2 linked regions of the Caenorhabditis elegans genome follow. The protein of the gene in region 1 purifies or fractionates together with the protein of each later gene. This does not show direct contact. Each region holds a gene or a part of one and is shown in the gene's direction. Other genes may lie near its edges. The genes, in order: herc-1 and madf-3.

What was found.
Region 2: the proteins of herc-1 (region 1) and madf-3 fractionate together in Caenorhabditis elegans (co-fractionation; one large-scale study listed by BioGRID). This does not show direct contact.

Annotation. Positions count from the first base shown.
Region 1 is NC_003279.8:1,209,577-1,214,527, forward strand, and holds the start of herc-1 (HECT domain-containing protein), read left to right. Parts: upstream 1-1,908; 5' UTR 1,909-1,918; coding exon 1,919-2,012; intron 2,013-2,997; coding exon 2,998-3,197; intron 3,198-4,210; coding exon 4,211-4,403; intron 4,404-4,951. Other genes in the region: nsun-2 (tRNA (cytosine(34)-C(5))-methyltransferase), read left to right, coding at 1,286-1,429.
Region 2 is NC_003280.10:4,332,910-4,339,715, forward strand, and holds madf-3 (Alcohol dehydrogenase transcription factor myb/sant-like protein), read left to right. Parts: upstream 1-1,838; 5' UTR 1,839-1,902; intron 1,903-2,766; 5' UTR 2,767-2,797; coding exon 2,798-3,361; intron 3,362-4,163; coding exon 4,164-4,242; intron 4,243-4,804; coding exon 4,805-4,901; intron 4,902-5,316; coding exon 5,317-5,515; 3' UTR 5,516-6,129; downstream 6,130-6,806. Other genes in the region: H20J04.4 (RNA helicase), read left to right, coding at 533-826.

The DNA of each region.
Region 1 (4,951 bases):
ATTTTCGGCAAATCAGCAAACCGGCAAATTGCCAGAAATTAGAATTTTCGGCAAATCGGCAAGCCGGCAAATTTCCAGAAATTAGAATTTTCGGCAAATCGGCAAGCCGGCAAATTTCCAGAAATTAGAATTTTCGGCAAATCAACAAACTGACAAATTGCCAGAAATTAAAATCTCCGGCAAATCAGCAAATTGCCAGAAATTAAAATCTCCGGCAAATCGGCAAGTTGCCAGAAATTAAAATTTCCGGCAAACCGAAAAATTGCCAGAAATTAAAATTTCCGGCAAATCAGCAAATTGCCAGATAGTAGAATTTCCGGCAAATCAGCAAACCGGCAAATTGCCAGAAATTAGAATTTCCGGCAAATCGGCAAGCCGGCAAATTGCCAGAAATTAGAATTTCCGGCAAATCAGCAAACCGGCAAATTGCCAGAAATTAGAATTTCCGGCAAATCAGCAAACCGGCAAATTGCCAGAAATTAGAATTTTCGGCAAATCGGCAAGCCGGCAAATTGCCAGAAATTAGAATTTTCGGCAAATCAACAAACTGACAAATTGCCAGAAATTAAAATCTCCGGCAAATCAGCAAATTGCCAGAAATTAGAATTTTCGGCAAATCAGCAAACCGGCAAATTGCCAGAAATTAGAATTTCCGGCAAATCAGCAAACTGACAAATTGCCAGAAATTAAAATCTCCGGCAAATCGGCAAATTGCCAGAAATTAGAATTTTCGGCAAATCAGCAAACCGGCAAATTGCCAGAAATTAGAATTTTCGGCAAATCGGCAAGCCGGCAAATTTCCAGAAATTAGAATTTTCGGCAAATCGGCAAGCCGGCAAATTTCCAGAAATTAGAATTTTCGGCAAATCAACAAACTGACAAATTGCCAGAAATTAAAATCTCCGGCAAATTGGCAAATTGCCAGAAATTAAAATTTCCGGCAAATCGGCAAACCGCCAGATTGCCAGAAATCAAATTTTCTGCAAATTGCCAGAATTTTAATTTTCCGGCAAATCGGCAAATTGCGAGAAATTAGAATTTCCGGCAAATCAGCAAACTGGCAAATTGCCAGAAATTAGAATTTTCGGCAAATCAGCAAACCGGCGAATTGCCAGAAATTAGAATTTCCGGAAAATTGTTATTTTTAGAAAAATAGGATAATTTGAAAATTGAAGAAAAAAAACTAATAAAAAAGTTTAACTAAATTTTTTTGGAAGTTTTCACAAATTGTTAGTAATTTCATGAGAAATAAGTTAAATTTTTGTCCAAAAAATCAATTTTTCAGGCCGCCCAAGACCGTGAAGCCGCGTGGGCTCGCAAGGAAGAAGCCGCAAAGGCTGCGGAGCCGTCCAGCAGCTCAACTGATGCTCCAGAATCTGCTGAAACTCTGGAAATTCCAGAAGAAAATGTTCAAGAAATGACTGAATAATTTGTTTTTTTTTTGTTATCTCTTTTTTCTCCTTTAATTTATCTCCATTTATCCCCTACACAGTTATAAATTCTGCTACGTGGCCGTGTGGAAAAAACTCGGCCACCGATTTTTTTTTGTTCCCTCACGTGGTGCCAAAGTGTTTCATTTCTGTTTGATCTACAAAAAATGCGGGAATTTTTCCCCAAAAAACTGTGACGTCAGCACGTTTTTAATCGTGCAAAATCAGTTGAGAACTCTGCGTCTCAACTCCCGCATTTTTTGTAGATCTAGGTAGATCAAACCGAAATGAGACATTCTGTCACAACGTGTTCCCTTTATTGTTGTTGCAGTTGTTATTTGATTTTTTTTTTTGAAAAAATTTGAATTTTTTTTTCAGATTTTTTCCTCTGATACTGCTTCAAAAACTAAAGTTGTTGAGATCACACTATGATATTTTCTAGATTGTTTTTTTAAAATTTAATTGTTAAAAAAATCAGATTTCAGAAAATGCGAGCTGAGCTGCTCGGATGTGGACACACGGGCGAGGGACAGCTCGGCGTTCGGCTCTCCGAGTCGACGATTCAAGTTCCCGAGAGAATTAGTACGGAGCTATTTTTGTTGCAGAAATTAGAAAACAGAAAAAAAAATTAATTCCGAAATTAAATTTTAAAAATTAAAAAATTTCGGATGAAAAAAAAACAATTGGAAGATTTTTGTAAATCTTTCACAAAACTTTAAAAAAAACTTTTTTAAAGAAATAATGGCAAACCGACATTTTGCCGGAAATGGAAGATTCCGGCAAACCGGCAAAAAGCCAGAAATTAAAATTTTCTGCATATCGACAATTTGCCTAAAATGAAAATTTCCGGCAAATCGGCAATATGCCTAAAATGAAAATTTCCGGCAAATCGGCAATTTGCCTAAAATGAAAGGTTCCGGAAATCGGCAATTTTCCTAAAATGAAAGGTTCCGGCAAATCGGCAATTTTCCTAAAATGAAAGATTCCGGCAAATCGGCAAGTTGTCAAAAATGATAGATTCCGGCAAATCGGCAAAAAGCCAGAAATTAAAATTTTCTGCAAATCCACAATTTGCCTAAAATTAAAATTTCCGGAAATCGGCAATTTGCCGAAAATGAGAGATTCCGGCAAATCGGCAATTTGTCAAAAATGATAGATTCCGGCAAATCGGCAAAAAGCCAGAAATTAAAATTTCCGGCAAATCGGCAATTTGCCGAAAATGATAGATTCCGGCAAACCGGCAAAAAGCCAGAACTTAAAATTTCCGGAAATCGGCAATTTGCCGAAAATGAGAGATTCCGGCAAATCGGCAATTTTTCAAAAATGATAGATTCCGGCAAATCGGCAAAAAGCCAGAAATTAAAATTTCCGGCAAATCGGCAATTTGCCTAAAATGAAAATTTCCAGCAAATCGGCAATTTGCCTAACGAAAAAAAATTGATTACTTTGGAGCAAAATTGTATGCATCTTTAAAAAACTCTTTTTTTTTGAATATTTGTTTAAAAACTGTGTGAAAATAGTTTAAAATCGTCTCGGAATTTTCTCTGAAAATTGTTCAAAATTTCAGTTGGCGCTCCAAATGATATGGATGGAACCGCAGTGACGTCAGTCACGTGTGGTGAACAACATACAGTATTCCTGACAAAAGATGGCAAAATGTGGAGTGTTGGTAGTAATATGGATGGACAATTGGGACGAGGCAGTCGGACTGAGGGTTCTTTTTCGATTTATCCGGTTTCTTGGACAAGCAGTGCGAAAATTATTCAGGTAACTTTGAGTTTTTTTTTTGGCGAAAATCCATTAGAAAATGATTTTACCATATTTTTTCGCTAAATAACATTTGAAAAATAAAAAATTTTTCGTTTTTCCCTAGTTTTTGGCGAGAAAATCCCGTAGATCTCATTTTTGTAAACTCTTTTTCCGTGGAATCCCCTTTTCTTAGATTTCCATCTCGCAGATCCTCTTCCCATAGTTCCCATTTGCGTAAATTCTCTTCTCGTAGATCCCCGTTTCGTAGATCTCCGTCTTGTTGATCCCCTTCTCGTAGAATAGCAAATTTCTAGATCCTCTTCTCCCAGATACTCTTTTGGTAGATTCACTTCTCGTAAATCTCCTTCTCATAGAATTAATTTTGGTTCCCGTTTCGTAGATCTCTGTTTCGTGCAAGCTCCCTTCTCGAAGATTCCTTTGCCGTAGATCTTCTTTTCGTAGATCACCCTTCTCGCAGCTCTCTTTTTTGTAAATTCTCTTTTCATAGATCTGCCTTCCATAGACTTCCCTTCTCGGAGATCTCCTTTACGCAGAACGACGTTTTGTAGATCCTTTTCCATAGATTCTCCTCTCGTAGAATGGCTAATTCCTAGATCCTCTTCTCCCAGATCCCTTTTTTTGTAGATTCTCTTCTCGTAGATCTCCGTTTCGTAGATGCTCTTTTTTGTACATATATTTTCCATAGATCCCTTTTTGCCTTTAATGTAGATTTTTTCCATAATTACCCTCTCCGTAGATCTCCTTCTCGTAGATCCCATTTCCGTAGAATTCCCCCTTTCGTAGATCCCATTTTCAAAGATAGCCTTTCCGTATAATCTCCCTTTCGTAGATTCGATTTTCGAAAATAATAATCTCGCAGATCCCCTTCTCATAGATCCCCATCTGGTTGATCACCTTCTCGTAGATGCTTTTTTCATAAATTCCCTTACTTCAGATCCATTTTCCGTGGATCTCCTTTTCGCAGAGCCAATTTCCATAGATCGCCTTCTCGTAGAAATTCCATTTTTCAGATCTCTGCTGGCCGTTCTCACACAGTCTCCGTAACCGACGATGGGCGTGTCTTCGCTTGGGGCTCCAATGAGCACGGACAACTCGGAATGGAGAGTAAATTCACGTGGCAGGGAACACCACGACGTGTTCAAGAGATTAATGATATTGTACAAGTGGCGTCTGGATCCAATCATTGTATTGCGTTGGATGAAGGTAGAAATTTGGAAATTTGTGAAAAAATTCAAATTTTTGCTGGAAAAGTCCAAAAAGTATCTCAAAAACCTGAAAAATTGAAAAATTTAGTAAGGGGATATGGTCGGGGTACTGTAGTAGTACTGTAGGGGTACTGTAGGAGTACGGTAGGATTACTGTAGTTTAGGGAAATTTGACTTTTTCTCTTTTGAATGGATATTGGTTTGGGGTTAGTGGGGGGGATATGGTCGGGGTACTGTAGTAGTACTGTAGGGGTACTGTAGGAGTACTGTAGTAGTACTGTAGGATTACTGTAGTTTAGGAAAAATAAACTTTTCGTCTTTTGAAGGAATATTTGTTTTCGAATAATTTGCAAAAACGGAAAGCTGGATTTTTTTGAAAATAAAAAATAAAAATGTAATCCCGCTTCAACGCCAAAAGAAAAGTTGGGTCTCGTTAGGAATTGGCGGCGAAATTTTTTGCTAATTTTTGCTAATTTTGAAGCATTTTTTGTTGCTTTTAATAATTTTTGTACCAACGACGACCAAAAAATCATGGAAATCCAGAGA
Region 2 (6,806 bases), on another chromosome or scaffold:
TTAAAGAAAAATCTTTAAATCTTTAAAAAATTGAATTTTTTTTCTAAAATTTGATTTCAAAAAACATGAGAAACATATAATTTTCGGCAAAAAATAGGGAAAAATTGCCTAAATTTGAAGCTATATTTTTTTTTCGGAAAATCTAGAAAAAAAGCGAAAAAAAAACAAAAATTGCACTTCTTTTGTAATTTTCCAGTGCCATATTTTGGATAAAAAAGGAAAATTTTTAATTTTTTTTTCGAAAAAAGCGAGTTTTTCTGCTAAAAACACGAAAAAGGCGGAAGAAACATTTTTTTTCAAAAAATTTGAATTTCCCGCCAAAATATTGAATTTCCAAACTCCTTCCACTTTCAATGACGCCAAAAAAAAATATTTTCCTCTCATTTTTCACTCTCTAGTTGACTGCGTTTCTCTCTATATTGACGCAAATAATTTTTTTTTCATCATTTTTTCCCCCGTCTCTTTTCATTTCTCTACACAAAAAATCTACTTTTTAATCAATAAATTCCCTTAATTTTCGCATTTTTTTCAGGTCAGCCCAAAACATGTCACCAAATACGTCACCCAAGTGCTTGTGGCGAAGAAAGAAGCCGAGTTGAAGCTGGAAAATCAGAAATTCGGAGAGAAAAAGGAGATTAATCGAAGAAAAGAGCTTCTGATGAGTGGAATGGATGAAGATGAAGCTGATAGGCATTTGGAGGAAATGAGGACTCGAAGAATGACAAATTCCAAGAGAAAGCTGGAGAAAATTAGTGGACAATTGGATAAAAGAGATCGATTTCAGAAGAAATTGGCGGCGAAAAAAGTGAAAAAGGAAGAAAATTGAATTCATTTTAAATATTGTAATTTTTGTTCAGCTTGTGTCGATTTACGCGGCTCGTGTACTCCTCGTGGAGAAGTGCAAAATTTTTACAGTTTTTGCTCAAAATTACAGAAAACTGTTAACAAAATGCAAATTTTTGAACAATTAAAACAATTAAAAGTGGCCAAAAATTACCAAAAATTGCAAATCTCCACTTTTTCAAATTAAAATTACGGTATATTTTTGGCATTTAAAGTTGTGTTTGCGGCAAACGATTTTTTTCCGGCAAATCGGCAAATTTGCCGGAATTGAAAATTTGCGGTAAATCGGCAAACCTGCAACTTGCCGAAAAAACGGAAATTGCCATAGATTTTCGGCAAATTGCGATTTTTTACCTTTTTTTTTTTTGATATTTCAGAATTTAAATTTTAATCGGCAAAACTGTACGCATCCTATGACTATTCCTACATCTAATTTGAAAATTGGCAAATTCTATGAAAATATCTAGAAAACCGACAAAAAAATTTCAAAAAAGCACAGTTTCAAGTTTTTCCGTCTCGTAAAAATTCTTCCAAAAAATTCCTGCAAATTTATGTTCGGTAAATCGGCAGGTCGACAATTCGCCGATTTGCCGATTTTGTCGACAAAGAAATTTGCCGAACAGCAACTGTTAACAAAATGCAAATTTTTAATTTAAAATTAAAATTTTTAAGTTGCCAAAAATCACCAAAAATTGAAAATCTCATTTTTTTTCTGGGATTTAAAGCAAAAAATCATTTTTTTTTAGTGTTAAATTCAAAATTCTAGTACTTTACTTCTCCTCGTGGAGTACACGAGCTTGCGATTTCTGTTGTTTTAGATTTAAATTGTTACTTTTTTTGTTTTGTTTTGTTTTTTTGTTGTTGATTTCTTTTGAAAAAAAATCAATATTTTCTATCACATCTATTTTCTTTTTATTCCCCATAATGGTTTCCTTAAAACCTTCCTCATAATATCTCTAAAAGCCGTCTCAAAAAGCGATTGCTCTAACACTTTCAGCTAATCATGATCTCCAGTGAGCACAACTATCAGCATTTATATCACGAAGAACAATACGATATGTGAGTTTAAAATGATATTTGGATAAATTTAGAAAAATCGAATTTTTGAAAAAAAAAATCAGATTTTTCTCAAAAAAGATCCAATTTATTTTCCGATAAATTGGCGAAAAATCAACAATTTTTTATATATGAAAAAAGAAAATTTTTCTAATTGTAAGTACTTACGAAGTGCTAAAAATAATTTAATCTACTAAATAAAAAAATTAAAAAAAAACTTTTGTTGTCAAAATTTTTTTTTTTCAACAAACAATTTTTTATTTTAAAAAGGTAAAAAATCAGTTTTTGCAAACACTTTTTTTCGAAAAAAAAAAACGTTTTTTACTTTAAAAAAAAGATGTTTCTAAAAACCTTCGAAAAATACCAGATTTTTCGAAAAAATTGCAATTTTTTTAATACGAAAATTTAAAAAAGTTAATTTTCGAAACAAGTCCATTTTTTAATTATATATTCTATCAAAAAAAATTGAATTAAAAAAAAACTTGATCTTCCATTAAAAACACATTTTTTTTCGATAAAAATCTTTAAAAATCTTAAGGTGTTTTTTCTTGAGAAAAAATACTCGATTTTCTTTTTAAAAAAAACTGCGCTTTTTTTGTAAAAAATTTAAAAAAAAATTAATTTCCGACAGAAAAACTATTTTTTAAAATTATATATTCGATAAAAATTCAAAAAATCGCGTTTTCCTTTAAGAACATATTTTTGGATAAAGTTTGATGTTATCAGTTTTTTTTTTCAAATTAGAAAAATCAAAAATTCACTCAAAAAAATCCCAAAAAGCATTTTTCCGAAAAAAAAGTTCGCTTAAAAAAATCAGAAAATTATCTGATTTTTCTAAAAAAAATCATAAATAACCTTTTTTTGCAGGAACTACACAGCGACCCGCTTCGGCGAGGAAATGATCGAACCGACATTCAACCTACGTCTCATCGAAGCCGTCCGTCATAGTCGATGCCTTTTCGACAATACAGACCGACAATACCGTAATACAGAATACAAAAATCGAGTTTGGCAGCGTCTGGTTACTGTACTCGGTTTTGATGGTGATCCGAGAATGTTATCTGCGAGATGGAAGCAATTAAGAGATAAATATGGAAAAGAGAAGAGAAAACAAAAATATGGAAATGAGAAATCATCATGGCAATATTTCAAACATCTTCATTTTCTAGATCCACATATGACAGATCGAGCAGAAATATCACCATCTCGAAAAGAGCCAACTGGAGTTCATGAAAAGATTGCTGAGCCATGTTTTGGAAAAAATCTAATTCTTGAAGTGAGAAGGCATCCGTGTCTTTATGATGTTCGTGATCCAAAATATCGTCATGGAGACTGTCGTACTCAAGCATGGGGAATGATTATTGATAAACTACGATATCCTGGAACAGTTCCGTCGATTTATAAACAATGGAAGAAGCATCGAGATCGATATGTTAGGGAGAAGAGGAGGCTGAGGAATTTGGTAGGCATTTGGAGGCCTCATGAAAAGGAGAACTTATGGAAAATGGGATCTGGCAGGCGGCAGTTGCCGGTTTACCTATTTGCCGGAAATTTTGATTCCCGGCAAAGTGACGATTTGCCGGAAATTCTAATTTTAGGCAATTTGCCGGTTTTCCGGAAATTTTGATTTTTGGCAAATTGCCTATTTGCCGGAAGTTTTCATTTTGGGCATTTTGCCGATATGCCGGAATTTTTAATTTTAGGCAATTTGGCGATTTGCCCGAAATTTTGATTTTTGGAAAATTGCCTATTTGCCGGAAATTTTGATTTTTGGCAAGTTGCCGATTTGGCGATTTGCCGGAAATTTTGATAAACGGCAAATTTGGCGATTTGCCGGAAATTTTGATAAACGGCAAATTTGGCGATTTGCCGGAAATTTTGATATTCGGCAAATTTCCGGTTTGGCGATTTGCCGGAAATTCTAATTTTAGGCAATTTGGCGATTTGCCGGAATATTTTTATTTTCGGGATATTGCCTATTTGGCGATTTGCCGGAAGTTTTAATTTCGGGCAATTTGCTGATTTGCCGGTTTGCCGGAAATTTCGATTTTCGACAAATTCGGCAAGTTGGAAATTTGCCGGAATTGCCGGAAAAAATCGTTTGCCCCTCCCTGCCTGGCACTGCCAACGCACAAAACTCAATTTTTCTTTGAGAAAAAATTGGCACAGTGCCAGAATCCCCTTTCTCAACAGTATCCCGTTTTCGTGGAGCCTCTATTTTTGTTTTAAACAGAAATTTTACAAATTTTTCTTAGCAACTTCAGGGTGATCCGAATGTTCAAGATGTGTCAACTTGGGAGATGTATGATGATATGGCTTGGATAGATCAGCATTTGGATGAACGTACGAGCTTTTTTTCCTGGAAAATTAAAACAAAAAACCTTTAAATCAAACTGATCCTGAATGCCGAAATACCATAAAAGGCCCCCGAAAAAAAAAATCAAAAATCATTAAGTTTGAAAAAAAATCGGTTGATTTTGGTTAATTTTCAATTCTGACTAATCTCCTAATCATTTAAATTGCCGCGCCTTTTTCAGCGCCGCACTCCGTAGATCTGTATCTGCGCGACGTTAATTCTAGTTTTTCCCGTTTTTTCCTCGCAAGTGAAGACAATAGTGCGGATGCAGATCTACGGACAATAGTGTGGATGCAGAGAGATTCAGGATCAGTTTGCGCATTTTGAAGTAAAATCCCTCATTTACTCCTACTCCTCCAGCTTTAAAATCGTTTTTTTTCCTCAATATAAATACGAAAAAAGAGTTTAGTTTTAGAACTCTTGTTTTGACATGTAAAAAATTTCGCACCGCCATATGTGAAATTACGAATTACGCAGTTCCATGTATTATTTTACGTGGCTCCTAAAATCGCCGGAATAAATACTTTAAAAAAAACTAAAATTTTGCAGAGCAACTATCTCGATGTGCTCGAAGTCTGAAACGAGGGGGAAACAATGACGGAGGAAATCAGGATGAAATGTCAGATTATGGAGATTACGATGATGAGTGAGTGAGCTAAAATGAGCAAAAAGTTGATGAAAAAAAAAGAGGAAATTTGACTCTAAAATTGATCAACTTCTAACCAATCAGCGCTCGGCCCCTTCTCTTTTTTGAACCAATCAGCGACGACCTGTGCCGCTGATTGGTTCGGAATTGCGCGGAGTCGGGCGCTGATTGGTCGGAAGCAAATAGTGGCGGTTTTAAGACAATTTTCGGTGATTTCTATTAGATTCTCTAGAAAAATTGAAAAATTTTCAAAAAAAAAAATTCAAAGATTTAGAAAAATGAAATTTTAAAAATTTGGAATTTGCGAAAACTTGATGATTTGGTGCAATTTTTTCCGACAAGTAATCACAGATAATTCCAAAATAATAATTTTATTTTGCCAAAAAAAAAATCAATAAACCCCTGAAATTTCCAGCATAAACTACGTGATGATGGCTGAAAAGCGACCAAACAACGGTGATGTACTTCTCGACGGAGATTCTGCATTCTCTGCATCAATTGTATCGGATCTAAGGACACTTGGAGAAGAAGCACGAATAATTGCAAAGCAGCAGATTATGATACTTTTGGAATCCGCTAAACCTCCGTCTACACCTGCTCCTAATTATTTGTGATTTTTATTGAATTTTCTAGCCGAAATTTTCAATTTTTTGTCCACTTTTTATTACCCAACCTCGAAATTTCTTCGATTTTACCCCAAGCCGGGTCTCGCCACGACCCAAATTGATAAGTTGAAAACTTTTTTTTTGATAAGTTGAAAATTGAAAAAAGTGTGCGCCTTTAAAGAGTACTGTGTTTAACTGTGAATTTTTGTCGAGTTTTTCTCACAATTTGTGAAAATTTATTGTCTTTTTTATCGAAAAACTATGAAAAATTGATGAAAATTCACGAATTTTTGAAGTTACAGTACTCTTTAAAGGCGCACACCTTTACACACGCACTTAACAAAAATTGTCGCTTCGAGACCCCAGGTACTGTAGTCTTGGCGCATTTATTTCCAATTTTTTTGATCTTTATCCCATCAACTGGTCTCATCATATTTTCATATTTGTACAATATTTCTGTATCTGTATTTTTTTTTGTAATTTTTGTGGGCAGTTTCTTAATTTCCATCGCCGTCTTTCCTATCTCAGGTCCTTTTATTTCATGAATAATTGATTTTTATCCTAGAAAATTTGGATTTTTTGTTGTAAATTTACCTCTTTTAAGGTGTTCAAAACCTACTTTTTATCTGTGTTTTTTGAAAAATTTTGAAAAATTTTTTGCGGATGGGTCTCACCGCGAAGTCTGAAAGTTACACTGCAACTTTTTCCTCGCGAGGGACGAGGAAAAGTGGTTTCTAGGCCATGGCCGAGGGGCCGACAAGTTTCAGCGGCCATTTATCTTGCTTTGTTTTCCGCCTGTTTTCTTTCGTTTTTCATCGATTTTTTTCGTTTTTTCTTAATAAAACTGATAAATAAATATTTTTTGCAGATGCTAAAACAATTTCCAATTTCCAAGTGAAAAAATCATGCATTCAGTGGGCAAGCAGCGGTGAAAGTGGTCAATGTAATATGATGGATTACGGGAATACAAAACCTAAACTTTTTCTGAAACATGATACATATGATGCTTAGATGCTGAAATTACCTGATTTTCATAACGAGACCGCTGAAAAAGTTTTGAGGTTTTCAAAATTCAATTTTTTTGTGCGAAAATCTCGACTTTTTCACCAAAAAAGTTGAATTTTGGAAACCTCAAAACTTTCTTAGCGGTCTCGTTATGAAAATCAGGTAGTCTCAGCATTTAAGCAGCATATGTATCATGTTTCAGAAAAAGTTTAGGTTTTGTATTCCCGTAATCCATCATTTTACATTGACCACTTTCACCGCTGCTTGCCCACTGAATACATGATTTTTTTTACTT